Alligator mississippiensis: one gene and its partner. The protein of the gene in region 2 binds, or shares a complex with, the protein of the main gene of each other region. Links are inferred from orthologs where the notes say so. Each region holds a gene or a part of one and is shown on either strand. Other genes may lie near its edges. The genes, in order: MKS1 and TMEM67.

Region 1 (15,025 bases), on a different chromosome or scaffold from region 2:
CTGGACACCAGCAAATAGATCTCTTTTGCATACAGAAAAATCATTCCAGGTCCTGTCTCAATCTGTGTCATATGAACCAAATACCCAACAGTCTTTAGGCAAAGCAGGTCCTTACATCTTTGAACACATGCTGCTCCCGTTCCTCTTCCTCTTGCTTCACCTGGGGTGAGGCATTCTCAATGGTGTATTTCCACAGCTCTCGCTTCTCACCATCCAGCTCAATCCTGCACAGCCCCAAAATGCAATGAACAAGACTTAGAATAGACAAGGAACAGATCCAGTGCCAACAACAGGTGTGCCAACCCCAACATAGTCCCAGAAGCAGCCGTAACCCTAACATACACCCACCCACCCATGAGGGCCTACCCAGCAGCAGGGGCTCATTAAGAAAACCATCAGGATATATATGTCTGTGCCCTTGTCACCCAAGGATCAAAACTTCCCCTTTTCAAGGGAAAGGGGGAAGCTCTCTCTCAGGACTCCCCAAGAAGCAGCCTTATTCAGTCTGTCTCCTGAGAGACAGCGCTAGTGTGTCTTCACAAAGGGCTTAAAGACCCTGGCTCTTCTCAGCCCCTGGCTTCTGTGATCTGTAGCACTCACGCCTATTGGAGCTCCTTCTTATCAGTCAGCTCCTGGGAAGAAGAGAGAGTGTTTTCTTCTTTTTAAGATGGATATCAGAGTGCCGATTGTCCCATAGCACCACAGACTCTGGTCCAAAACAAATGGTATTTATTGTGCCATTCCAGTTCCCTTTGTCCTCACTTGGACTATTCCTTTACTCTTGGTCCACCCTGGGACCTTATCCCAGTCCACTCTAGACCTTCTTTCCCACCCTGGCTGTCTCACAGCCTGGCTCATTCTCCTCTGGCCCAGTCAGCCACACTTGCAGCAAACCAGTTACAAAACTATAGCCTTAACCTGGGGACAACCTCACTCAATACAACGGATCATGGGAAACCAAACTTAGAGTAGTCTCTGTGGCCTGCTGTCAGGCCTAGACTGCCACATGCCCCTGGAGTGAAAATGACATATGTCCTACTTAAGAAACTATTTACAAGAACTATTTACAGGAGAGGAAGACCAAATAAGCCTGCTTCTTGTGGGAGTCCCAAGGAAGAGCTTTCCCCTTCCCCTTGAAAAGGGACATAATGCCCTATGTGACAGCACTCCATATAAATACATCTTTCTTACCTACCTGGGTAGTGAGCTGCCTATTCAAGAGCCTCAACAAACAGGCACAATGACAAGATGACACCAGGCAGAACCATGATATTATTCTGCAGGCATCTCAGATCATGCTTCCTAGCAAAGTGTTAGGTTGCAGGATCTCCGAACTAGACATCCCCTTTCACAGTATGAAAGGTGACCCATGAAAAGTAATTTCAGTCCCTCGTCATGCAGTTAGTCCTGCCCAGCTCACCTGTAAGCACCTTTGGTGCCTGTGAAATCTGGCTTCACTGTGATCACCCCATTGCTGTCCACCTTGATTGTGCAAAGAACATGTTCATACTCCCTGCGGCCAAGCCTGGGACAGAGACCAAGAAACAGCAATGGAGTCTGAATAGAGCCAGCAGACCTCTGGAATGACAGCTTACATGTGTACATAGGGCAGAGGGGGTTCAGACCCATCTGTATCCCTACTCATCAGAAAGATAGGAGGAGGAGGGAAGGAAAACATGTACAATGCCTCCCACAGAGATAACAAGTAGGAGGAAACAACAGCTGGTATTGCTGAAGCTCTTGGGAGTCCCTCGATCCCCTTCTGCCAACTTGTGTAAGGGGTCGGAGCTTTGATAAAGAGGGGAAGAATAGAGGTTCACATCCAGCAGACCAACTCACTCTGAGCATTTCCTTACTTTCCATACGCTCCCAAGTCTGCCATAATATACATGGTCTGAACAGGGGTGTTGATGACATGGTTATTCTTAATAAATTCTTCCGAGGGCTCCCAGGTGATGATTCGTGACTTCAGAGTGCTCCCCTCCCTGCCAAGGATACCACAAAATGCTATTATGCACACTCGCCAAGCCACTCTATAAAACACATCATGACACCAGTACAAACTAGCTGAGTACAGACAACAGTGTACATGGTGAGATGCACAACCTGGGATCCAGCATGAGAAGGCACAACACCAGGCTCTGGATGGAGAAGCCAGACCCAGATGGGCACCAGTGCTGGAATCCACTCTCAGTTTGTTCTGAGTCATTCTTTGTACTCACATAGGCCTGCGGTCCTGTCTTCTCCTCCTCACATTGGCCATCCTTTCTGCCAGATGTGATGTCACCTCATAGTCTGAGTTGGTCATTTTCTGACAGTGCTAGAAGAGAAGGCAGGAAGTGAAACTGTTATTCCTACACAGGAACAGGTTCTCTTTCCCATGAGAAAGGCAGAACCATTTAATGCCAGAAGATTTGCCCTTCTCCCTTCTGAGCTCCAAAGGCCATAGCAAGAACGCAGGCAATTACATGTAAATACAGACACACATGCATGCTCCTCTCAGCTGCTCTAGGGCACAGAAAGCCTGAAAAGCCTTGGATCTCCCCTGTGAACAGCACAGCACAGAAAATAGCCCAGCTGTCAGCTGTCAGGTGACTGCAGAGTTCATCCTCCATTCTTTTAACTTGGCACATTTGAAGCTCTACCTTGCTAAGTCATCCACCATTTTGACAGCTTCCTCTTGGCTTTCATTGTGCAGCACTCAGAAAGAGGCAGAATTGGGGCAGTAGGTGGGAGTACCTTGCAGAAGCAGTGTGTTCTACTGCCCTAAAAAGCTGTCCTCTCAGAGTCCTTGGGTTCAGTTGATGCAGGACCTGGCCATGTTGAGAGAGATGACTGGCGGCAACAAATTAGGCATGATTAACAACAGGTACCTCCTCCAGGTTGGTGAATCGGTCATGGTCTGTGTAGGTGAAGATGCGGTAGTTTTTCCGGCCTCCTGTCTTCTCCAGCTTCAGGATCTCCTGGTGATACTGCCGATCCAGGGGAGACTGACAGGCTGACTCATTTTGATACAGATCCACCTCAAACTAGGAATGGCACAGTAAAAACAGAGATTTTGGCATAACATGGATAGCAGAGATTAGAACCAGGAAAAGCCTCACGGCTGAGATTTTTTAAAGAAGCCACAGCAAGTTAAGTGCCTTTGTAAAGCCCAGTTTTTAGCCCGGGGTGGACAATTATTTGGGCTGGAGAACCACTGAATGAATTTCAGTGAGCTGTTGAAGGCTGCATGAGCACCTATGTGCACACGCGTGCGCACACACACACGTGAACTCCTCAAAGCCAGGCCAAGTCTGGCACCAGAATAGCAGCAAGAGTGGGAGCATGAGCCCACCTGGGTCTGTAGCATCTTATCTCTGCTCCTCCATGCTCTCTGCCCCTGTGCTGCCCAGCTTGGCTGCCAGCAGGTAGGAAGGGGGCTAAGAGTCAAGCTGTGCGAGGGGCAGGGCTGTGGCATTTGCAGCCCCACAGAGCCCAGCTGCAAGGGGGTGGGGAACACCCCCAACTCTTAGTCTTCCCTCTCCCCCCTCCCCGGCTCGCTGTGCAAACCCCAGCTTGGAGGAAGCCAGGACAGAGACTCAGTTCCCCCCCTCCCCTACCCCCATCACTGCGCGGGCCTCTGGTGTTACAGGAGACACTGAGCAGAAGCAGCCCTGCCCACACAACACCATGGGATTGGACTCCATCTCCTAGCTGCCGTGCAGTGCCAGGCAGGTGGGGCTGCTTCAGCCCAGCATCCCCTGTCACATCAGCAGAAGCCAGAGACCCCCACCCCACCTGTGGGCCTGCCAATTGATTCATTGATTCTATCTGGCCCATGGACAGAGGACAGCTCCGGCTCTGGCCTCTGATGGTGCCACAGGCCAGACAGAATCAATTGGCAGACCAGATACAGGCCATACTGTATTTTTCCCACCCCTGTTTTAGCCCTACCCTTAGTTCTTTAGGTCTCAACTAGGCCATTCCCCAAGGCTTGAGGTACTCCTGCACTGACATCACCCACAGGGTTCCAAGGTGCTTCTAGGTATGGCCCATTTTCTTCTCACAATACCACTGCCTGAAAGTGACTTGAGCCACTTTGTGCCCAAGTTCCCCTACCTGTAAAAGAGGAAGCATGGCTCACCTGAAGTCACACAGAGTTATTGGGACAGATAGAAACAAAACTCTTGGTATCTTTTAACTTGCATTTCTGACCTTTAGCCCAACCACACATTCATTCTTACAAAGCCCATCATGTGATTTCATTTTAAGCAGGTTTCAAGCAACAGGATCTTCACTTCTCTCCTGGGGAGGCAATTCCACAAAATGATAAACCCCTCTGCTGCATGGAAGTGGTGTTCTGTATTCATCTTCCATTTTGTCTGTTGTAGTTTGATCCTGTCATTTCTAATTATTACTGCATTAACTTGTGGCCTGATCCTGGAGACAGATGTCAATACATTTACTCATGCAGGGAGTTCCATTCCTTCTGATGGAATTACTTGGCTGAATAAAGCTGCTCAAATACATGCATGCAGGACTGAGCTAAGGTTGATTTAGTGCTTTAGTGGCTGTAATCAAATGAAGTACACAGATTCTTTGTAGTATTAAATTGGATAGCTCCATCAAAAAAATGGTGAAAATTTAGGTCACAGCCATGTTTCAACTGGAGACAAAAAGCCCCTATCTATAGGAGAACCATATTTGTGAAAAAAAGGCTGATGCATTACCATTTGGTCAACATCTAAGGAAGTTTCATAGAAACTAACTATGCAAAAATTAAGATGGCCAATTCTTGTGAGATTAAGAAGGAAACATTAAGGCTGTGCTTTACACACAGATTCAGACCTCCGCCCTGAAAATATTTCACAGAAATCAAGCTGTACTTTTGTTGTTTACACACACACACTGGGAGAAAATATTATTGAAAAGCCTCCGAGAAGTACATCAGAAACCAGTTCTGCTTGTTCCTGTTCTCTAATTTGGTACTGACCACACAAGAGATCAGAGAGTAGCCACCCCTTCTAAACTGCAGCAGCACAACTGGGAGTCACAGGAACCTCTATTCCTCTTCGCCATTTGAAGAAGATGCCAGAGGCTCCTGCTGGCAAGGTCCTCCCACTCTTCCACTGGCTCACCTGACTGAAGAGTTTCTCCTGCCATCCAATCACTGCCTCTTCTTCCTCATCATCAAGACAGCTACCTAGAAGATAAGAGGTGTCAGACCACTGTTTCATATCTCACTTGACCCTCTGACCCTGCTTCAGAACTGTGAGCAAAGAGAGCCCTTTGAACATTTCTTCTCCATTCTGTTTGGTTTTACGGGCAGCATCTGGAACTCACAAGGTAGCCACACTGCCACATTTTGAATTCCCAAAGCACTTATACCTAGAGAGCAAGAAGCTTACGTTCAGATCCAAGCAAGGCTTCCGGTGCTTCTCTCTATGGTGGCATGGGAAGAGTACTCGCAGCTGAAGCCCCGTCAACCACCAAAGCCTCATGTCCACAGGCTGAATTCAATGGCTCTGCAGGCCCGATTCAGCCTGCAAGTCATAGGTTGCCAACCCCTGATCTAGACAAATTACCAGGCTGGACACTTTTCTGTATATTTTCCAGCTCTAATACCACATTAAAGAAACTACAAATGCATCAAGTCCTTATCATATCATTTTTACATGTAAGCGGTTGTAGCTGCCACTGGCATGTTAGGTGATAGTAAACAGAGTGGACTAAATGCAAGGGAAAGTGTCCAATGGAGGATTAAGACATGGTCCATACTATAGAGGTACTTGGGAACCCTTGACAAATATTCCAAGGAATTTGCTTTTCCCTGTGGACATCATTTGCTTTCTGTGGGTCTCTGAGTTTAGAAATAAAACTAGACGATAGGGAGGAATTGCTTTTCGTTTGCAGGAAAGAAAAAGAGCCCCATGAGTTGAACAGTCCTATGTCTAACAGTAAGTACACGACACCCTCGTTAACACAACTGCTTTTCCTCGTGAAGACAGCCCCAAAGAGACAGCCCCTTAGGCTGGTTGCACTTGCATCACCCTGGCTTGAAAGACTTCAGTTTGAATCTCAAACCCACCTATTGCTCCAGAGGAACCCAAGAGAGGCAAGACCTGCCTTAGTTGGGAGGAAACATTTGATGGCCTGGGGAGGGCGAAACCTTTTCAGGTTGCAAGCCAGACCGACCCAGTTCAGGTCAGAGGTGGGCTTGTGCACCGTGGGCAGGCGTGAGGATCCAGCTGCTGTCACTAGTGCTTTCTGCAGCAGCTAGGCCGGGAAAGCACCCACCACTGCTGCTTTTCTCTGTGGTCTATAGCTGGTGCTCATCCCCATGACAGCACGGGAAAACTTACCTGGCAGCGGAAACGCCATGTATCTGGGTCCAAGAAGGCAGTTTTCCTTAAGCCCTCCCAGGGATAACTGTTCTTCTGGCGCGGTTTAGTACCCACCGAGGTGTTGGGGCTTAATGCCTATTTTATGGAAATGGGAGGCTCCTCCCCAGCTTGCTCCTGTCACCACATGGTTGCAGGCAAGCGAAACTTGGGGGCATCCAAACCCCAAGCCTCCAGGCTGATGCCCGCCAAAAGACATGGGAAGGATCTAAAGCCCCGGCAGGTGGAGGATGTTCGCTGGTTGTAGAGCCACATATGGTTCGGGCCCGACTCATGGATTTGGACGTGATTTGGCTCAGAACACAATTAAAAAAAAAAAAAAGACAGCAGGGGAAAACAGCTGCTGAAGGGCCCACGGCTGCGGGGGAACGTGCTGCGAGCAGAGGGGGAAACAGCAGCGCCAGGTGTTTTCCTTGCGCAGTCACTGGGAAAAGCAGCAGGAGCAGCTGAGTCCTAACATCCCCCCCATACCGGGTCAATCTGGCTGTAGAAACCTGGCTCCTAACATCTGCCCAGCACGGACCCAGTGTGGGGGGGAGAAGTGGGTGCTGCAGCACCACATCCATGGCCAGGACCCGGGTGTCACCGCACTGCTGGACTGCCAGGGGCAAAAGCAGAGGCTAGGACAAGCCGGCAGAGGCCCCGCTCAGCCCGGAGAGGCCCCGGGGGTTGCAGGGCGCCAGGCCCTGAGGCTCCCGGGGAGACGTGGCTGGGGCGGCCGGCTCTGAGGAGGTCTCTGCGGGGGGACGACGCCACCTACTTGCCGCGGTGCTGGGGGTGGCCGGGCCCAGGAGCTGCTTCCCCGGCGGGCCGGCGGAGCGCGGCAGCTGCTGCAGGAGGAGGCCGGTGGACGTGACGCGCTGGAGCCGCACCCTGGCGGGGGCACGAGGGCACGGAGCGGTGAGCCCGCGGCCGGCGGGACGGGGACGGGGACGGGGTCGGGGACGGGGAAGGGGGGCGGGCCCTCACCGGAGGCGCAGGTTGCGCACGGGGTCGCGGGAGCGGTAGACGGCGCCGCCCGTGTCCGTGCTCCAGGCCGGCTCCGCCATGGCCCCGCCGCAACCATGGAGACGGCGGGCGCCGCCCCGTCTGCGGCCCAGCGCCCGCCCCGCCCCGCCCCGCCCCGGGCTCCAGCCTGAGCGCCGCGGGGGAAGGGGCCTCCGCCCCCACAGCGCCGCGGGAGGCGCGCACGGATGTCGCCTGGCTGCACCGGGGTGCCATCCGCACACCCACCAAGGCAAGCGGCAGATTAAAAGCCCAGTCGTGCAGGCGAGCCAACTGCAGCTGGCTACTAGCATCAAGGACGGTAAGTCCTTTTTCAGATCTGCGGGGAGCCGGAGGAACAGCAAGGGCAACACTGGACCCCTGCTGAACCAGATGGGACAACTGACAACCGACGCACGGGAAAAAGCCAGAGACTAGCTGACAGCAGCATCCTGAGGGATCCCCAGCACGGGTTTGCTGCCGGTAGGTCGTGCTTGACCAATCTCATTCCCTTTTACAACCAGGTGACCTATCACCTGGACAAGGGGAAGAGATTGATGTTGTATATCTTGACTTTAAAAAAGCCTTCGATCTGGTATCCCATGATCACCTCTTGGCAAAACTGGCCAACTGTGGCCTTGACCTCACCACGATCCGCTGGCTGGGGAGTTGGCTCCGCGGCAGGACCCAGAGGGTGGTGGTTGACGGAAGTCAATCGTCGTGGTGTGCGGTGATCAGTGAGGTCCCTCAAGGCTCTGTCCTAGGGCCTGTACTTTTTAACATCTTCATCAATGATGTGGACACTGGAGTCAGAAGCAGACTGACCAAGTTCACCGATGGCACCAAACTCTGGGGTAAAGCATCCATACCTGAGGACAGGAGAGTGATCCAGGCAGATCTTGACAGGCTCATGAAACGGGCGGATGAGAACCTGATGGTGTTCAACACCGAAAAATGCAAGGTTCTCCACCTTGGGAGGAAAAACCTGCAGCATCCTTATAGGCTCGGCAGTGCTATGCTGGTTAGCACTACAGATGAAAGGGACTTGGGGATCATGATTGACCACAAGATGAACATGAGCCTTCAATGTGATGCTGCAGCTAGTAAAGCGAGCAAAACGCTGGCTTGCATCCATAGATGCTTCTCAAGCAAATCCCAGGACGTCATTCTCTCGTTGTACTCAGCCTTGGTGAGGCCGCAGCTGGAGTACTGCGTCCAGTTTTGGGCTCCACAATTCAAAAAGGATGTGGAGAAGCTTGAGAGGGTGCAGAGGAGAGCCCCGCGCATGATCAGAGGTTAGGAAAACAGACCTTACGATGAGAGGCTGAGAGCTATGGGACTCTTCAGCCTGGAAAAGCACAGGCTCAGGGGTGATCTGGTGGCCACCTATAAGCTTATCAGGGGTCCTCACCAGGATCTGGGTGAACGTCTGTTCACCAGAGCACCCCAAGGGATGACAAGATCGAATGGTCACAAACTCCTCCATGACCGTTTCAGGCTGAACATAAGGAAGAACTTCTTTACTGTCTGAGCCCCGAAGGTTTGGAATAGACTGCCGCCGGAGGTGGTTCAAGCACCCACTTTGAATGCCTTCAAGACACATTTGGATGTTTATCTTGCTGGGATCCTATGATCCCTGCTGACTTCCTGCCCCTGGGGCAGGGGGCTGGACTCCATGATGCTTCAGGGTCTCTTCCAGCCCTAATGTCTATGACTTGCAGCTGCTGAATGCAGTGCATGACTCCTCGCACTCTTGGCTGGTATCAAATCTTGGCTGGTCAAATCAACATGCAGCATTGATTTGAGTGCATCTTAGTTTCTTCATGGCCAGCCCAATAACAGTTTGCATGTGTATTGTTTTCACAGCCTGTCTGCTTCATAAATGGAGCCCTTAACCCAGCAACCACTAGCGTCCGGACTGGGCTTAATACCTGTAGGTGTAGAAAACAGTTTGCTTTTCTTCTGCATTGGTTCATTATTAGATGAATATATTGATAGTCCTGGGTATGACTGAAAACTGCACCCGATCGGGGTTTGGGGTCACTGCGGTGGGACTGCTCGTGCTGGAGCAGCCCCTAGAAAGTGCTGCCAGGGCCAAGGCCCGAGGAAGGGCAAGTCTGGGGAACTCTAAAACTAGGGCTGCACCGATAAACATTTTTTGGCTGATACTGATAGCTCATTATTAGCCAGCCATATCGGCCGATACCGATCCAATTGCCAATACGCAGCCTGGCAGCTTGGAGAGCAGCGTCCGGCTGGTAAGATTGTGGGGGGGAAGGGACTGAGAGAGAGAAGGAGCGTGGGGGGCAGATCGAGGCCCCCACGGTGAGGGAGGGAGTGGGACTGGGGCAGGAGCAAGGGTAGGCACTGCCCAGCCAAGGCAGGGCGTGGGATGGAGCCAGCAGCACATCCAGGGGGCGCCGAGGGTGGGGAGGGGGAGCAGCTCCTGGCACTGTGTGCACACCGAGAGAGGTATGGGGGGCATGTGTCTCTCCGGATTTGTGCGTGGGGGTGAAGGCAGGCTGCTCACTGTAGGTTTGGGGCTAGGGGCTGCACAAGCGTCTTTATAGCAGGGGCTGGGCAGGTGGCAACAGTAGCACTAGGAGGCGGGTAGCAATGGGGTGGGCTACAGCCACCCCAAAATTCACCATAGCCTCCTCAGTAGCTCTCCCTCCCAGAGCCACAGTCACCCACCCCACCCTCCCCTGCCCCAGGCACAGCCCTGGCTCAGTACCCATTCTGGAAAGAGCCCAGTGCAGCCCCTGGCCCACTTTTGCCCCATGCAAATTGTGGCGGCACATGCCTCCCCCCAGGGGTGCACACAACAGCGGGAGCTCCCCACCCCAGACAAGTTGCCTGTGGCTTCACCCTGTGCCCCACCCCACCCCAGCTGGGCAGCACCTGCCCCAGTCCCACTCCCTCCCTCACTGGTGGCCTCAATTGTCCCCCCGCACACGCACACCCCTACCCACCCCATGCTCCTTCCCCCCCACATACTTACCGGCTGGGTGCTGCTCTCCAAGCTGCCAGGCTGCATTCCTGGCTGCATGCATGCTGTGGCTGTGCACATACACACAGCATTTATTGGTAATATCAGCTGCATCAGCCAAAAAGAGCTGATTGCGGATAATGTCAATTTTCCTTTTATCAGTGCCAATACGGTATGGACCAATGTATCAGTGCACGTCTACCTAAAACCCCAGCCCCCACTGCCTTGTGGGTTACCCCCTGGTGGGTAAAGATTAGAGGAACTGACCCCGAAATAAAAGTAAAGGCAGGGCCAGATTATTAACTAGAGTAGACAGCTATACCTGGCTCCCTCTGGAAAGTCTTTTCTGGTGGATCAGGTGGTCAAGCAGATATGCTCATCTCCCTGTCTGTGAAGGCAGATCTGTCAAGAGCTGTATGGAAAGTGTAGGGCATCAGTTCAGGTGCAATAGGAGCTGATGGCCATCTACTGCATCCAGACTTGTCTCCAGATGTCTTGACTCACCTAATGTCATGCCACTGGATTCAGACAGGCCTGGACAAAAGAGTGTGGGTGACTCTGCACAACTTTCCCTCACTTAAATCCAACTTGCACACAATTCATAACATCATCGTCATCTCCCATAGACACACTCAAGTCCTGTGGCGATGGGCGAGCAGCAAAACAGCAGGTGTGGATACACTGGGAGCTGTAGTTGCAGACCTGTACACAGGCAGTTCAGGGCACATGATCACTTCTCACTGGACCAAAGCAGCAGTGGAATTCAGCAGCCCCCTGGGCGACTGGGCAGCCCTATTTAGGTTCACACTGCTCACCTCTGTAGTATGAAGAAGGGGCTAGAAAAGATGCCCTAAACATTTCATAGACATTAGGGCTGGAAGGGACCTCACAAGATCATCAGGTCCAGCCCCCTGCCCAAGGGGCAGGAAGTCTACTGGGGTCAAATGATCCCAGCAAGACAAGCATGCAAGTGGGTCTTAAAGGTGTCCAGAGTAGGTGCTTTCACCACTTCTGGGGGGGGGTGTCTATTCCAGACTCTGGGGACTTGGATGGTACAGAAGTTTTTTCTTATGTCCAACCTAAAATGGTCTTCCTGGAGTTTGTGACCATTAGACCTTATCTTCTCTTGGGGCACTCTGGTGAACAGATTTTCTCCCAGTTCCTCATGCACACCCCTTATATACTTATAGGCTGCCACCAAGTCCCTCCTGGGCCTTCATTTCTCCAGGCTGAAGAGTCCCGTGCCTCTCAGCCTCTCATCATAAGACTTGTTCTCTTGCCCTCTGATCATGCACATGGCTTTTCTCTGGACACTCTCAAGCTTCTCCACATCCTTCCTAAAGTGAGGAGCCCAGAACTGGATGCAGTATTTCACCTGTGGCCTCACCAAGGCCGAGTATAGCAGGAGGATGACTTCCTGGGTCTTGCTTGAGTTGCATCGATAGATGCAAACCAGGGTTTTGTTTGCCTTGCCAGCTGCGGCATCACATTGGTGGCTTATGTTCATCTTGTGGTCAATCATGACCCCCAAGTCCCTTTTGGTCGTGGTGCTAGTGAGTGTAGCACTGCTGAGCCTATAAGTATGATGTGGATTTTTTTCCCCTGGAATGGAGCACCTTGCACTTCTCAGTGTTGAATGCCATCATGTTTTGATCCGCCCACCTTGCAACCCTGTCCAGGTCAGCCTGAATCGCCAGTCTATCCTCTAGTGTGACCACGCTTCCCCATAGGTTGGTGTCATCAGCGAATTTAGCCAGTCTGCTTCTGATACCTGAACCTAAATCATTTATAAACATGTTAAAGAGTACTGGTCCAAGTACAGAGGCCTGGGGGACACCGTTAGTTACCATGCGCCATGTTGACATGGTTCCATCCACTATCACCCTCTGGGTACAACCACAGAGCCACTTCCCGAGCCATCAGATCATGAGGTTGTCAAGGCTTCAGTTCCCCAGTTTAACCACGAGAACTTCATGGGAGACTGAGTCAAAGACTTTTTTTGAAGTCCAAGTAAATAATATCAAACTCTTCTCTTTTGTCCAGATGATGTGTCACCTGGTCATAGAAGGAAATGAGGTTGGTCAGGCAAGACCTACCTACAGCGAAGCCACGTTGGCTGTCTTTCAGAATGTTGCATTCCATTAGCCTGTTGTTAATGGTTTCTTTGATGATTTTTTTTCCAATATCTTTCCAGGGATTGAGGTCAAACTGATTGGCCTGTCGTTCTCTAGATCTTCCTTCCTCCCTTTCTTGAAGATGGATACCACATTGGCCCTCTTCCAATCCTCAGGAACCTTACCCAAGCGCCACAAATTCTCAGATATCCTTGCCATTGACTGCACTATGATGTCCGCCAGTTCTTTTAGCACTCTTGGGAGCATTCTACCTGGGCCAGTTGATTTGTGGATATCCAGCCTCTCAAGGTGTTCCTTCACAAGATCTTCACCAATGATGGATGTGTGTTCACCCATACCCTGGCAATCCTGCATCTTGTTTGGCAGGGTGATCCACTTGGGCTGGTGGAAAACCAACACACAGTAATCATTAAGGAGATTAGCTTTTTCACGGGTGTCAGATGTCAGCTGCCCCATTTGGTTTAGCGAGGGTCCAGTGTTGCCCTTGTTTTTCTTCTGACTACCCATGTATCTGAAGGAGGTCTTTTTATTGTCCTTGATTCCCATACCCAATCTGAGTTCAGTTTCAGTCTTGGCTTTCCTAGTTTGCTCCCTACAGGTGCGGGCCAGTGCTGAATAATCCTCCTTGGCGATGTTACCTGATTTCCAACCCTTGTAGGCTTCTCTTTTCAGATACAGGAAGTCCATGAGTCCCATATTGAGCCACAGGGGTCACCCAGCCCTTTTGCTACCTTTCCTACGGGCTGGGATGGACTTCCCTTGTGTGTCAAGGATCACATCCTTAAGAAGCGACCACTTATTGTGGACTCCCCTCTGGTTCCTCAGGGCTTCAGCAACCAGCCTCCTGAGCTTATGAAAGTCGGCTTTCCTAAAATCGAGGATTTCTGCACTGCTGACTGATTTTCCAGTTTTGCAATGGATAGAGAAAGTGATCAGCTCACAATCACTGCCTCCCAGCTTCCCTTTGATTCTCAGGTCACTCACTAGCTCATCCCCTTTGCCCAGTACCAGATCCAGGAGTGCCTTACCTCTTGTTGGCCTGTAGACTTCTTGAGACAAGTAGAGTTCATCAATGCAGCTGCTAGCCTTCCGTACTCTTCCCTCATTCTTCAGGCAAAGAGCCTGGTGGTAGGCATCAATCACCTCTTCGCCATCCCTGATGGCACGCAGCCTAGGCACTGCAGCCTGGAGCTCCGCTATCTGGCACTCCAGGGACTCTAATGTGGAGCACACCCCCCAAGGGGAGATGTCATTGCTCCTGATCCATGTGCCAGGCAGCCCCCACAGCCAAGAGCCAGGGGCTCTATCTGGGTGGAGGCTGGAGCCATGGGCTCCGTCTGGGTAGAGGCCTCAGTGGTATGGGGGGGGCTCCAGCTGCAGGGGCAGGGATATTCAGGGTGCAGCATATCACCACCATCGTACAGGTAGCAGCCTGGGCTACTGCTGCACTGACCCTTCTCTTCAGAATCACTGTCTAGAGCCTTGTGCCCCTCCTGCTCACCCTCCTGCACGAACTCTCATGCTAACTTGCGTATCAGGCCCAGAGCATGCCTGTTTGCGTGACTCCCTAGGGACTGGGCTAAGTAGGAGTTGTTGAGCATGGGTGTGACCCTCCTTGGCTCCACTCAGCTGCCTCACTGGCTAGTGCCCATCCACTGTGGGCCTCACTCACTTCCCATCTTGCTCTGGGGTCTGGTTGGGGGTCTACTAGGACCCGAGCTTATGGGGGCATGACAGGCTCTCACTTGTGCATCTCGCTCTGGAGCTGGGTCTTGATTGAGGGTTTTTTTCATTGGCGCGGCCTTTTAAACCCTGCGCATGCGCAATAAGCCTGCTAGCACCATGCTGTTCTCAGGGACAGGGAATGCCTGTCCCGCCAGAGAAGGGGGCAGGTAAGCGCCCCCTCCTCTTCCCCTACTGCTCCCTAGGGGCTGGGCTAAACAGGAGCCCAGGGGTGGGGTGAGTGGTGACCCTCCTCAGCTCCACTCAGCTGCCACATTGTCTGCTTCACCTTAACCTTGGTCAGCATACCGCAATTGATGGGGATCACACTACACTGGTCAAAAAATCACACAAAAAGAAAAAGACAAAGATTACACCACTCACCATCGGTGCTTGGAATGTGCATACACTAATGGACTCTACAACAGCAGATAGACCAGAGAGAACAGCTCTAGTTGGTAGAGAACTGGCCAGATTCAACATTGAGATACCAGCCCTGTGTGAAACTCGCCTAGCTAAAGAAGCTACGTCTTACTGAAAAAAGAACCAGCTACACATTCTTCTGGAGTGGCCATAGTAAAGAAGAGTGATGTCTGATGTGAAGCTGGTGTTGGGTTTTGCCATCAAAACACTACTAGCCAGCAAGCTTACAAATGTCCCAAAGGGAGTGAATGACACACCTATGCGAATGAGACTCCCACTGTCTGGGCAAAGATGTACCACTATCATCAGCACTTCGTACCCACCATGGCCAACCCAGATGTGATTAAGGACAAATTTTATGAGGACCTCATGGGCTGAGGGAAACTGAG
Region 2 (14,732 bases):
CGACAATTGGCCAGTTTCTCCAAGAGACGATCATGGGACACCAGATCGAAGGCTTTTTTGAAGTCAAGATATATGACATCAATCTCATCTCCCTTGTCCAGGTGATAGGTCACCTGGTCGTAGAAGGAAATGAGATTGGTCAAGCAAGACCTACCCACAACAAACCCGTGCTGGCTATCCCTTAAGATGTTGGCGTCGGCCAGTCCATTAAAGATGGCCTCCTTAATAAACTTTTCTAAGATCTTCCCCGGGATAGAAGTCAGGCTGATGGGCCTATAGTTAGCCGGATCCACTTTCCTCCCTTTCTTGAAGATAGGCACCACATTGGCCTTCTTCCAGTCTTCGGGCACTACACCAGAGCGCCAAGAGTTTTCAAAGATCCGCGCTAGAGGCTGGGCTATGATGCTCGCCAGCTCCTTGAGTACCCTGGGGTGAAGATTGTCAGGGCCGGCTGACTTGAAGGTATCCAGCTTCTCAAGATGTTCCTTCACAAAGTCAGCATTAATGGAGGGCAGGGGATCACCCTCACCTGGACTTTTTGCCCAGTAGCAGGCACGGGCGTCCCATGGGGCTGATGAAAGACCGACGCAAAGTACCTATTTAATAGGTTGGCTTTTTCCTGGGCGTCAGTTGTCAGTTGCCCCATCTGGTTTAGCAGGGGTCCAACGTTGCCCCTGCTTTTCCTCCGGCTCCCCACATATCTGAAAAAGGACTTTTTATTGTCCTTGATGCTCAAAGCTAGCTGGAGTTCAGTTGCAGCCTTGGCTTTCCTGGTCTGCTCCCTACAGGACCGGACCAGTGCAGAATAATCCTCCTTGGAGGTGACTCCCATCCTCCATCCTTTGTAGGCCTTTCTTTTTAGCCTCAGGAGGTCTGCTAGGTCCCTGGAGAGCCAGGGGGGCTGCTGTGCCCTCTTGCTGCCTTTCCTCTGAGATGGAATAGACTTAGTTTGTGCATTGAGGATCGCTCCCTTGAGGAGTAACCACTCTTCTTGAACTCCCCTCTCCCTGTGGTCACAGTCCCTTAGGGCCTCACTGACAAGCCTCCTGAGCTTGTCAAAGTCGGCTTTCCTTAAGTCAAGGACTTCCGTGTTGCTGACTGACTTGCCAGCTTTTCGGCGGATGGTGAAGGTGATCAGCTCGTGGTCGCTGTCACCCAGCTTCCCATCGATCACTAGGTTGCCAACTAGGTCATCCCCAGTAGCCAGCACCAGGTCGAGCAGCGCTTTGCCTCTCGTTGGCCCATAGACTTCTTGAGTCAGGTAGAGGTCATCCACGCACGAGAGGAAGCTTTGTGACCGCTCAGATTTTGCTGAGCGATTCTCCCACGAGATGTCTGGGTAATTGAAGTCACCCATGACAACCATGGTCCTGGAGCAAGCTGCCTCAGCCAGTTCCTGGGCAAACTCCTGGTCTAGCTCAGGACTTTGGGTGGGAGGTCTGTAATAGACTCCCACCATTGTGTCCCCTGTGCCGTGTTCCCCACGGATTTTAACCCAGAGGGTCTCCAGCCGTCCACCCTGGTCGCCAATATCGGCTTGCAGGGACGCGTAGCTTTTCTTAACATAGAGAACTACACCCCCGCCCCTTTTCTCTACACGATCCCTCCTGTACAGGGTATAGCCATCTATCCCTGTGGTCCAGTCATGGGTGGAGTCCCACCAGGTCTCCGTTATCCCTATGACATCGTAATTGTTTGCACTGAGCAGGAGGATGAGCTCCTCCTGCTTATTCCTCAAGCTCCTGGCATTAGTGTACAGGCAGACAAGTGCCCCCTGGGGGGCTCCTTCCTTGCCCACAGATTTTACCAGGGCTGGGGCTGGGGTGGGCTCCCTTGAGTGCTGTGATCCGCTGGCTTTGCAAGGATTGCTCAGCGGGCCAGCAGTGGCGGTAGTCCCCCCGTCCCCCAGCGGGCTTAGTTTAAAGCCCGGTGGAGCAGGTCAGCCAGTCTGGCTGAGAAGAGCCTCCTCCCTAGAGGAGAGAGGTGGAGACCATCTCTTCCCAGCAGCTCGCTGCCTCTCTCGCCAAAGAGCGGGCTGTGGTCATGAAAGCCAAAGCCTTCCTGACGACACCAGTGCCGCAGTCTTTGGTTGACCACATAGATCGTCCTGTCCCTTCTCAGCCCATAGCCTGAGACTGGGAGGATCGACGAGAACACCACCTGTGACCCCAGACCCTTAAGCCCCGCTCCCAAATCCCTGTAGCGCCTCATGACCTGGCTGGGAGTGCTCCGAGCCGTGTCACTGGTGCCCACATGAATAAGGAGCATGGGATAGTGGTCTGTGGGTTTGAGGAGCTTGGGGATCCTCTCCGCAATGTCCCGGATGCAGGCCCCTGGGAAGCAGCAGACTTGCCGGGCTAAGGGGTTGGGGTGGCAGATTGGCCCCTCCGTCCCCCTCAGGAGGGAGTCTCCCACAACAAACACCTTACGTTTTGTCTTGATCTAACTTCAAATCATTGAAGTTAGATCAGGAGTGCTCAACCTGCAGCCCAAGCAGCCATTGCATCTGGCCTGTGGGGCTCCTCACCAAATGGAAAATTTGTCAGAGGGGAAGCAGTAGCCATTAATATGCCAAATCCCCAAGCCTGGTCGAAGCCAGGCCACCACCATCCCTGCAGCCTGGACCATGCCTCCTTCCCCCTTCCCACACTCCCCTTCCCCCCCGCAGGGCCAGACTGGGGCTGATCATGCCTCCCCAATCATACTCCTTTCCCTCACAGGGCTGAGCCATGGCCCCCACTTTTCCCAGGTGGGGCTGGGTCACGCCCCCTCCCCCTGCAGGACCAAACCATGCCCTCCCATGAAGCCTCTTTCCCCTTTCTGCAGAACCAAGCTTGAGCTCGGCTGCAATCTGTCCCCTCCTCCTGGACCAGTGGTGTCTGCCCCTGGGAGCTGGATAGGAACTACTATCCAGGAGCAGCAGACCAGGCATTGCCCATGAGCTCCCACAGGGAAAAATGTTGAACACCACTGCCCTAGACTGTTACATAAAAATAATACAACAAAGTTTCCAGGGTCATAGAACCATAGCTTCTCAGTGCTGGAAGGGACTTGAGGTCATCTAGCAAAATACAGGCCACAGGCCAGATCCAGCCCAAAGGATTCTATCCAGCCTGTGGCAGGTTCCTTGGCCCTGCTAGCCCAGGAGCCAGCCCAGGCACACATGGCAGGGCAGTGGCAGAACAGAAGCCAGACTTGATTTCCTGGCAGCCTCCATGGCAGGCTGCTGCTGCCTGCATCTCTGCTGCTGTCACCACTGGTGGACCCAGCCCCACTACCTGGGCACCCTGGTGCATCCACTGCCAGGGATGGTGGATGGAGCAGCTGGGCGGGGTCTCCATGGAGATCAGCCTGGGACCCCCCACAAGCAGGCTATGCTCAGCTGGGTGGATGGGATGGGGCTGCAGGCAGGCAGGAAGCAGAGTCTAGGAGCAGGATCAGCAGGCAGGGCTAGGGCTGGGATCACAGGGCAGTGACAGTGTGGGGTCAGGGGCAGAACTGTGATCTGCTCCCTGCATGTCCCTGTTCCTCATCGCAGGGATGTGCAGGGACTGGGTCATGGCTCTGCCTTGTGCCCTGCCCACCCTTCCCTCTCCACGACACTACTCCCCACCCACCTGTGGTGCCCTCCCATTTGTCCAACGCAGTGCAATGAATGGTCTCCATGGAGACCTTGCCTGCCTGCTCACATTATCTGGCACCCCCAGCACAGGGTGCAGGGTGGACGCCAGGCTGGACAGGATCAACTGCCTCCCCTCCCCTCCAGCACCTCACCAAAACTCCCTAAAGAGCCCTCCAGCCCGAATCATTGTCCCCCTGCCCCCAGATTAATCCATCCCTACTCAGTGCCTGCCTATTCTGCTCTCCCAACTGCACATAGATGGAGGCTATGCTGTCGCTGTGGGCCACCTGCTCATTGTTGCCAAGAGTATAATTATCATATTTGTACGATAATTTCAACCCTTGTACGATCTATAACAGCAGAAGTCTTCAAAATGTATGATAATTTTTGAGGCAGCTAATTGATGCAGCAAATTCTAAACCCAAGTCACTCTCAGGGAGTTTCAACTGACTTTAGGGTTTGCTGCCAGCACTTCCTTATGACCAAGGATCCTGGTTTTCCCTGATTTAAGAAATAAATAAATAAACAAAAAAATTGCAATTTCTCTGATAAAACACCCTGGAAAATCTGCGATTGAAATGAAAGGCCACTTGTCCCCCCAATCCTGCTGGTGCCCCTCATTCCTTCCACGGTCCCCCGGCCCTGCTTGTGCCAATCACTGCCACCCCCACAGCCCCACCCAGCCCTGGCAATGCATCCCCAGCGCATGCGGCAGCAGCGAGGGGCACAACGCCATGGTGCTGCCCCTGCTGCTGCCTTGCGCAGAGGGCATGTCACTAGGGCAGCGCGGATCTCGCAGCAACAAAGAGATCCCTGCATGGCCCTGCCGTTCCCTGAACCACTGGTTCGCACCTGTCGGGCTGCAGATGCTCCAGGGAAGGGCAGCAAGGTGGGAGCCTGACCCTGCAGTGTGCAGCCTGCACCCACCCTGCATATATATCGGGGGGGGGGGGGGGGAAGGGGGGCACAGGTCCTCCCTGTTTCCTGGGAGTGTGCGTAGCGGCAGGAGCTGGCCTTACTCTGCTCACCCGCCAGACAAGCTGTGGCCTCATGCTACTCCCCACCAAGGCCCTGTGGCCACACACTGCAGCCCAGGGCCACACGCCCCATGCACTGCCCGGCTGGGACAGCAGCACCAGCCCTGCCCTCCCTATGGGAGGCCTCTATTCCCCCAACCCTGCACCTACACCTAGGAGCTGCTCTCCAGGCTGCCCAGCAACTATGTGCGCACACACGCACACGCTGCCCCCTGCCTGACCGCCCTCCTCCCACCCGCCCCAGCCCACCTGCAGAGCGCTCTTCGCAAAACTGCAAAATCTTCAGGTTTCTCTGATAAACATGAGAGATCCATGTTTTCCACCGGTAAAGGGGAAAATCCGTTGTTTTCTCCGTTTTCCCACAGGATCCCTGCTTACAACTGCTTGCCTCAAAATAAAGAAATGCTTCAGCGTTGATGACCCAGTTCTTGCTCGCTGCCTGGCTAAGACTTATTTACATACTTATGTGCATATTTTCAGCATACAATCGTTTTTCAGCCAATACAATAATTTTGAGCTTCCAATAGGATCATTTCATATTTAAGACCCGGCAACGCCGTGCCGCTACGGCGCCCTCCCGGGCAGGACCTGTTCTCCCCTCTCCAGCAGCTCGAAGCCGCGGCGCCCCAGAGAAGTCTCATCTCCAGGGCTCCCCCGACGCGCTCAGGGGCCGGGGCCGGCAGCCGCACGGCAGCTCCCCTGAGCAGAGGGCGCGGGCGGGGCGACGCCTTGCACCTCACCGCTCACCCGAGGCGCTGCCCCGCTGGTGCGGCCCGCACGCCCCGCACGCCAGGCTGGCGGTGTCGAAGTAGCGCGGCTCGCCGCAGTCGCGGGGCCGCCGCAGGGGCAGGGAGAAGCTGTGCCCGGCCGAGGGCCCCGCGCCCAGCAGCAGCGGCAGCAGCAGCGCGACGGCGGCCCAACGCCCAGCCGTCGCCATGGCGACCGGGATCCCGCTGGCGGGGGTGGGGGAGGTCCGTAGCCAGACGTCGCTGCGGAGCGCATGCGCGCCGTCTGTAGCAATCACGGCTCCCTATAGGCCGCCTGCGCGCGTCCGGGATGCAACCCGCCTATGCGTAGTGAAACCTGAACCTAGCACGCACGCGCAGTTAGCACCGGAAGTGACGCAACGCAAGCCGTACGCGCCTCCTCCTAGCGGGAAGCGGTTGGAGGCTCGCGCGTCTGTTGGCGGGAAGGTCAAAGGGGAGGGGGTCGCGCCTGCGCGATGCGGCGAGGTGTGGGGCGGCGCCATCTTGTTGCTGCCTGACTTGGGCGCTGAGTGAGGGGACGGTTCCTCGCGCCTGTGTAGTGGGCACCGGTGTGTACGGCGGCGGGAGGCGGCTGCTCGCGCTGGGCCGCGTCGCCTGCTGGCTCGGAGGGGGGCGGGGCGGGGTTCCTCGGCGACCGGCCGCCCCACGCTTGCAGAGGGCCAGAGGCGGGGGAGGGCGGGAGCGGCCTGTTCTCCCCGCCGGCCCCAGCGCCGGCTCTCGGCCCGGGCGGGAACGCGGGATGCGCCGCCAGCCGGCCCGAGCGGGCCGAGGAGCGGAGGACGGGGGCGGCGGGAGCCCAATGGCTGCGCACGGGAGCCGGGAGCCTCGGGCAGCAGGAGCGCGCGGCTGTCGCGCTGCGGGAAAGGGACCTCCTGCTTCGGCGTCGGCCACTTCTCACACCAGCCCCGGGCGCTGGTGCTTCGCTGCGTCCCCCGCTGGCTCCTGTGTGGGGCTCCGTCCTGGCGGCCTGCTGCGGAAAGGAGAAGGATGGGCGGCCCGGCTGTGGCACTGTGGGCCGGGCCCCGTTCCCGTGCGAGGAGATCGCTGCCTGCGTTGTGAAGTGGCATCAGAAATGGAGCTTGAGCTACGCAGGGTTTTAGGCTTGGAGCCGGTGGCTACCTAGGGTTTCACAAAACCCTTCCTGCTCGGTCTCTCTCAACCTCCTCCTTTGAAGGCTTTGCTCAAGTGTTGATCTGTTCATAGGTATTTAAAGAAAAAAGCTTTCTAAGCTACCTGTAGCTTTGTTGGGTCGTTCCTTTAAAGCACTTGTTGCCTTGCATGCACTTGCAGCTGCTGGTTGCATGGATGGACGGCTAGTGGAAGTTCATTGGCTGCACTTGGCTCTTTTTTTATCTGTGGGACAACTTCAGTTTCACTACTGTTGTGATCTTTGTCTGGTTTAAAGAATAGTAGCTGTATGTTAGGCCTGGGATGTATCGCAGGGATCTTGATAGTTATCGTCACAGAAACGTCGCTGATTCTGGGGTGAAGACAGAATATTGGGTAATAATTGGTATGGGAATGCAGAAGGGAAGTAGAAAACTGCTGACATACTACAGACCACCAAATGAAATGCAGGCATACGGATTTGACTTCGAGTCGAAGGTTTGTTGGGAAAATTGGCTTTCCTGTTGAATTCTTCCCTTGCATGTTGGCGTTGCCATTTTATCGATTGAGAAGATAGCTGTACAGATGTGGGAAGCTCTTTATCTAGAAGTGTGATTTTCAGACATGCAGTTGTTTTAGCTTGTAGCTGTTTTTCCAAAACAAGGATGTAACAAATTTAGAAATTGGCACTGGATTTGCCAGTTACAGAAACGTTTTTGGTTTTATTTTTTGTGCTAATTCAGGTGAAGCAATGGGCTGTTCTGGTTATGAGGTGGCTGTGCAGATCTGTCTCTTCCCTGGTCTGTTGCAAGTCTTGCTGCATAATGTTGTATGCTTAAACAGTTGTCAGCCAGAGTTTATTATTGCTAATGATATGATGGTAATTCCATGCATAGGTTTACCTTGTTTCTGTAGGGGAATATGCTATGTAGTCTATGGCTTTCATGCTATAGGAATTGTTTAAAGACCAGGATAAGTCTAAGATTCTCAAGGTAGTGTTTTTGGTTCTGTGATTGAAGGACAGTAGGTATTTGGGGGGAAATACAAATGAGTTTAATTTGTAACTTCCTGTACTCTCCGGAATTTCTGCTTGTTGAATTTTTTTGCTCTGTCTTATGGTTTTCTTCATTATGTGTCTTCAAGAATACCATGGTGGTGAGTAGCATATTCTGTCACGCACTTCAAAAGCAGGTGGATTTCAGAAGAATTGGACATTTAATGTAATCTTCAGTGGGACTTATGCATCTTTCAAGGACTAAACGAAGAGGTTTTTCCTTTTACCTTATTGGCCATTGTTTCCTGTGAACAGTTCAGTGTGGCACAATTGATGACCCATTAATCTTGGCATGTTTTCATCATTTGCAGAAGCAACTTTACCTTTGAATATTTTACTTCTAAATGGATTCACAGGCAAAAGTGCAAGGCATAACATTTTGCTGAATTACATTGTCTGACTTGTATTTCTCTTGGAACAAGGAAGGAATCCTCTCCATAACAACCCAAATCGTGGTTTCATTACAGTGCTTGGCTGTTAATATTAGCTATTGATATGGATGTACAATAGCAATGTGGCACAGTATTTTAACCAGATGTGATATCAGCCATTAATTATGTCTCATTTTCTTTCCACAGTTAAGTTGATTTTACAGAATTTATCAGGTCTTCCAAGCAGAACCAGGTAAGCTGCCTAAAGGCTAACATTTCTCGCTCAGTATTGTCAAAAGACCACGCAAAGCCATTTCTCACAGACTTTATGACTGGGAAATAGGAAATGCTTTCCTGAATGCATTTGGCTGCTGCAAGAAGAGAGACAACGTTGTTGCATTGTTTGTTATATATACGCATTTGTAAGCAGAACTGGTTAGTTGGTAGACAACTTGTCTGAGAGCATAACATTCGTTACAGTCACTGAAATGCTTTTTTGGTGATGTAGGGGTTTTTTTTTTCTTCTTTTTTCCCCTCATCTTTTATTTTCAGTTTTTTCAGTGCTGTGATAGCAAGTGCCTCTAACACAAAGAGAAGACTTTGGTTCTTAGCATCTCTGACAAGTAGCAGCCATGCCAAGAAAGACTTGAGATGGTCCTTATTTATCGTGGATGGTGAGGAGTTGACTCATGTGGATCTTGTTGCCTTTAGATAGGGAATATTGACAGATTGTGCATACTTCCAGGTGGAATAGCTAATGGTTTTGACTAAATCTACTTCAAGATTAAAACAGGATTCAATGATTGTGGTGAACTTGTGAGCTTCTTGCTTGATTTCATAAAGCTTGATTGAATCAGGGATTTTCATTAAAAAGGTGTTAGTTTAAGAGCTTAGATACTGCGATAGATGAGTACTAAAGACTTGCTATCATGTGTACCTTTTTGTCTGCAGGTGATTTTGCTGTGAGTTGAGCGCAGCATGGCTGTAGTCATCCGTTTACAGGGGCTTCCTGTTGTTGCGGGCCCTGCAGATATTCGCCGTTTCTTCTTGGGATTGAATATTCCTGATGGAGGAGTGCATATTATTGGAGGAGAAACTGGGGAGGCTTTTATTATTTTTGCAACAGATGAAGATGCACGACGTGCCATGAGCTGTTCAGGAAGCTTTATCAAGGACTCCCGCATAGAACTGTTTCTCAGCAGCAAAACGGAAATGCAGAATACTATAGAAATGAGCCGGAAAAGGTTTGATCGTGGAAGAAGAGAAACCACATCTGGGTCTAGACGAACAAGTCTTAGTAATTCTGGTGCCTCGAGCGTCGGCAACATTTCACATTTAGTTGCGGCTATTACAAAAGGAATGAGTAAAAGTCCATCAAATCACACAGATGCTGGCTTTCATAGCAATGGTACAAGACATGGTGATTCAAGCATAGCAAACTATAACCAGTCGAGGAAAGAGTTGCTTTCAGGTAACCTTTATTTATTTCTGAGAGGTTTACCGTACTTTGCAACTGAAGAAGAAGTACGTGTTTTCTTTTCTGGGTTACGAGTGGATGAAGTGATCTTCATAAAGCGTCGCAATGGTCTGAATAACGGAAATAGCGTAGTAAAATTTGCTACACCTAAGGATGCTTTGGAAGGACTTAAGCGTAATAAACAATACATTGGCTCAAGATTTATAGAAATAAGTCCAGCCCCAGAGCAATGGATCAAATACTGTGATAGGGCTAGCATGAAGAATGAGATTGAGATTGAGATGGAAATGGATCCCTTTTTAAGTAAAGAGCATTCTCCAGTGAGAAGTTCAAATTATATACATTCAAGGAAGCATTCTCATTCAAGATCTCCTCCAAGGAGACAAAGAACACGAACACGGTCACGGTCACATTCGCCTCATAGCCAGGATTATTGGATACACTTAAGAAATCTGTCTACAAATCTTGAGAAGAGAGATTTGAGAGCTTTCTTCGGAGAGCTGGATATATGTAGTAACCAAATCAAGTTTTTAACAGACAAATATCAAAGGAGAACTAGAGATGCTCTTGTGATGTTAAAGAGTGAAAGAGATTATCAAGCAGCTTTGGGATTTCATAGGATGGTTCTTTTCAACCGTGCTGTGTACATCTTTCCTATTTCTAAAAGATCGATGTTGAAACTAATTGAATCTTATGAAAAGAAAAGATCACAAGAAAGAGATCGGCCTGGGCAGACCGTACTGGAAAAAGGTTACCGAGAGGGGCATGCTGGCCCTAAAATGTGCATCTATATAAGAAATTTTCCATTTGATGTGACAAAAGTTGAAGTGCAGAAGTTCTTCGCAGGATTTGCTATTGATGAAGATGATATTTACTTGCTCTACGATGACAAGGGAGTTGGGCTGGGGGAAGCATTAGTGAAGTTTAAATCTGAAGAACAGGCAATGAAAGCAGAAAGTTTAAATCGGCGAAGATTCTTGGGAACAGAAGTGTTACTGAGACGTATATCTGAAGAACAGATGCAGGAATTTGGTATAACTATTCCAACATCAGCACCAGGTGAAAAGATACACGGTCATTCACAGGCATATGACAGAAGTGAGCATTCTCGTGCAGTTGGCTCATCATCTGGACCACCACAAGGACCACCTCAGCATTCATTTGGTCCTCCTGGGAGCTTTAGGCAGGGTCCTGATTTTAGACGCCCGCCTGACGATTTCATGTGTCCCCCTGAGGATTTTAGAGGTCCCCAACATTTCATGGACTACGGTGGTGATGGCAAACACTTTGGGAGAATGGAATTTGGAAACAGGAACATGGGGGGCTATCCAGAGGGAAGATTTATGTTTGATCCAAGTTTTGGTGGTGGTTCTGATCATGGAGTACCTATCCAGTTAAAGAATTTACCTTTTAAAGCCACCCCTAATGAAATTTTGGATTTCTTCTATGGCTACAGAGTCATTCCAGAGTCTGTTACTATACAATATAATGAACAAGGATTACCTTCAGGTGATGCCATTGTTGCCATGACAAATTATGAGGAAGCAATGGCGGCTATTAAGGAACTAAATGATAGACCAATTGGCCCACGCAAAGTTAGGCTCAGTTTACTCTAAAGGTTAATTGCCTCTAAAATGAAAAAACCTAGACTTCACAGTATTGATGGATTCTTACTGACAATTCTGTTATTGGAAGAAGCAGAAGAAACTATTTCCATAAAAAAAGGAAGTTGTAAATAGTGTCAGGTTCAATTTTCCATTTATAGTTTTTGGTTCAAATTGATGTTTGTAAGGTAAGACATCTTAGCACTGTATTAGGTTAACTTCCTTCTGTGGTGGGGGAGAGCCTAGTAATCTTACTGAACTGTTGATTGACTTTTAATACCAAGATAAAATCTTGGAGCTGTAATGCTTTTGAAGATTTTTAGTGTGCTTCATTTCACGGTCCCATGATTCTTTATATCTTATGAAAATATAAGTGCTGGCTAACTGACATAAGAGACCGTTCAAATTGGGTAACTTTAATGTCATCTTCATTAACAAATTACCTTGCATTTTTATCAAACCTACATATTTAGGATAAATTGTAAAGATGAACAAATTCCTTATGTGCACACTTAGTCTTTTTTGTTTTCCTGTGGTCACAGGTACCTCAAATAGTTTCGTGTTCAAGTTAGCCAGCCTTACAACTTTTTAATAAAATAATTTGCAACTGACTTTTTGGATTACTTGTTTAAGCTTTTTTACACTTACCCATCTCAAATTCACTTAAGTTGGTCATGGGAGCCAGATATGTTTGCTGCTGAGCTAGATTCAGAAATCATCTTAAAGTTGGGTCATCTTAATGTTTCTTATCCATACTTGAATCTAGTATTGGGATTTAGGGATATCTAAAGAGCAAAAATCACTTGTCTAATTATCTTGCTTACGCTGGTGGTTCTCAGGCGGGGTGCTGCAAGACCTTTTTGAGGGTGATACAGTGCTGCTGCCAGGTGGAACTGTTCCAGGAAACTCGTTTCCAGGGGATGCTATACAGACTAGACAGGGAACTCACTGTAGTAGTAGGGAGTGCCATGCTGCAGCTTGGCCTGATGGAAGGTCCCACTGGTGTAAATGGAGGGGATGAGGAGGGGCACAAGCCCCAGGTCCCCTCCACCCTGTGGTCTGTCTTGGGCCAACCTTTTCAGAGATTGGGAGGGCTGGTTACACAGCAGGCAGCTTGGGTGTTGTGGAAGATGTGTAGAGAAATGCACAGGGTGGGGCAGAAAAGAGGGATGTTCTGTGGTGAGCTGCATCACAGCAGGTGGAGGGGGGGACCCATGGTGGGGTGAGAGAGTGCCCACCCAGTTTGAGAGAGACTGTCCCAGGGCACAAGTCTTTATCTGGAAGGTCAAACAGTTTGTGCAGCAGTAACTGCCACTCCTGCCCCTGCTGCTTTAATTTGGGTCAAAGCAACACCTCTCAACACTCCAGTGCTGATTCCCTCAGCTGTGGATTGAGTCACTGACCTCCCAGCACACTGGATGAGCTGTGACCTCAAGTGCCAGCAGGCTCCCTGACAAACAAGGACCAGCATTCTACGAAGCAGAAATGAGCATGCCTAGGCTCTTCTGGGAGCAGTGGGCACTGGCTGAGGCACTTGGTCCCCACTTTCTCAGTTGCACAGCTCTGCGGTTCCGCTGTGCCATTTCTCCATTTCTTGAGGATCCTGTGAGGCCCCAAAGTCAAATCTGTGAAACCCAGGGCAGGTTCGGTGAAGGAAATGCCTGTTACCCTCTGCACCTCCGCAGCATACCAAGGCAGGGGCGCTCTCTCTCCATGGCCATATCTACAGCTGACATGATGGACCGGTTACTAGAAATTGACTAGAGCTATTTCCACTTTAAAGTCTATCCTATATTTTTATCTATATACTGTTTTATATGGTTGAAAACCTCGTAGGAAATTTGTGCGTTACAGTGGGGCTAATATCTTACTAAATTTCAAACAGAACCGTTGGTGGTGGGACTTGGTGATTGCTGTTTTTTAAAATCAGGTTTCTGTGACTGATTCCATGGCCCGGCTCTTACCACGTACTGAAGCCTTCTCTTCTAAAGTAGCATTCAGGTAGGTTCCACATTGACTTTTCAGAAACACTGTACTAGAGAGGAAATAACTTTATCTGAGTTTTTTTTTACTCTGCTCCATGGACAGTGAATTTGTGATGGCTTTCTATGGTCCTGAAATGAGGGTTAGTATTTTAGCAATGAAGAAATGTTAAAGTAGTTGCATTGTAGGGAAGATGATTACCAGAAACTTCAACAGCAAAGAGGGCTGCTGATAAAGATGAGGGTTATGGTAGACTTATGAGCTAGCCTGTTGGTTGGGAGGGGAAAAAGGCTTATGCAGCATTTCACAAGCTGAAGACTAAGCACCATAGAAGCATGAAAGACGCAGTGAAAGTTGCTCTGTGGGTAAGCGTGAAACTTAGTGATGAAATAAATACATGCTTCAATTTGAATGTTGGGATCAGAATAAATTGTTTATAGTGAACAATTTATTGAATGTTACTTACTTACAAGAACATAAACTTATATCAACAGTTCTTAAAGGAATGTAACACCAAATTACTATAGGAAAAGGGTTCAACAGTCAAAAGCAGAAGCTTCTTGTAGACTCATTGCTGACATCCCCATTTTTTCTTAAGTGATAATGCATAAGGAAATGTATGCAGTTGAGTTTGTATTTTGAATATGTTTAACTTCCACACACACTTTTCAATGGAGGAAGAAGTAAATCAAGCATTAGCTCTTATTTTCTAAGATAATGTAAATGCAAGTGTGTTCCTTTCATGTAGTGTGTTATCGCCCCACTCATATGAAAGCTAGGAAAGCAGGTCCTCTTCATAGGACAGAAATGGTTGTGCTGTACCTTCATCTGGAGAAATCTAAGACCGGAGAAACTTTAAATATAAAGTTTTCAGCTGCTACATACACACTTATGAGACCACTTAAGTGTTACCTGGTTTAGGTATCTAACTGAAAGTAGTTTCAATGGTATCCTGGTTTCTAAGAATCCATGCCAATTTATGGTATTTCAAAAGAAATGTAAAATGCTTCATCTCCTTGCTGTTTAAAAGACATGCATTAGAGAAACCTGGCATGCTTTAGAGAGTAAATTATGAAACTGCTTCTACAAAGAATTGTCACCTGAATGGAAACTGATTGCCAAATCTAAGTGACAGTGTCCAGTGTCTAATCTAATACTAAGAAGCTCTATATGTGTTGCACTGTAAATACTTGATAATTTTCTTCAACCTGGACCAGATGAAAAAGTTTTCTATGCAAGTATTTCTACAGTAGTGCACTCGTTACATGTTTAAAAGTCAGAATTCATTGATATGTTGTATAATATACCCTCTTAAAGAAAAATAAATGGCTAATTTTTCAGAGAGACTTTATGAAGTGTCCAGGTTATTATAGGGATTATCATGAGTGGTGTTCAGTTTAAAGATACGAAGTGTCGACCTGGACTTCTTAAAATAGAAAAAAACATGTTTCACCTACATATCGTGGACGTGGCTGTGTTTGTATCTTAGATTTCTAGCTTCCCCAGCTGGTACAAAACTATAGAGGGTTTTTTTTTTTATTGTTTTGCCTTTCAGCATACTGCTGGTTTTCATCATTATCTCTAGCAAATGTTTATTAGTGGGACAACTGCAATACATGCTGTCCTCAGTTTTTGACATTTCAAGTTATAACAAACGGCACTTAAGACGTTTATAAATTGACACCCTGTTTCGACCTTCCAACATGGGTT

What was found.
Region 1: TMEM67 (region 2) and MKS1 share a complex: the UniProt entries of both Homo sapiens proteins name them as parts of the tectonic-like complex. The link is inferred for Alligator mississippiensis from reciprocal best matches to the Homo sapiens genes TMEM67 and MKS1.

What each region holds. Positions count from the first base shown.
Region 1 is NC_081837.1:29,519,385-29,534,409, forward strand, and holds the start of MKS1 (tectonic-like complex member MKS1), read right to left. Parts: upstream 7,463-15,025; 5' UTR 7,450-7,462; coding exon of another isoform or gene 7,433-7,449; coding exon 7,353-7,432; intron 7,257-7,352; coding exon 7,140-7,256; intron 5,186-7,139; coding exon of another isoform or gene 5,182-5,185; coding exon 5,121-5,181; intron 5,087-5,120; exon of another isoform or gene 3,937-5,086; intron 3,030-3,936; coding exon 2,874-3,029; intron 2,861-2,873; exon of another isoform or gene 2,740-2,860; intron 2,321-2,739; coding exon 2,223-2,320; intron 1,986-2,222; coding exon 1,857-1,985; intron 1,526-1,856; coding exon 1,421-1,525; intron 225-1,420; coding exon 116-224; intron 1-115. UniProt on the Homo sapiens protein: Component of the tectonic-like complex, a complex localized at the transition zone of primary cilia and acting as a barrier that prevents diffusion of transmembrane proteins between the cilia and plasma membranes.
Region 2 is NC_081826.1:43,991,840-44,006,571, forward strand, and holds the start of TMEM67 (meckelin), read right to left. Parts: upstream 5,649-14,732; 5' UTR 5,597-5,648; coding exon 5,407-5,596; intron 1-5,406. Other genes in the region: RBM12B (RNA-binding protein 12B), read left to right, coding at 8,937-11,051. UniProt on the Homo sapiens protein: Required for ciliary structure and function. Part of the tectonic-like complex which is required for tissue-specific ciliogenesis and may regulate ciliary membrane composition.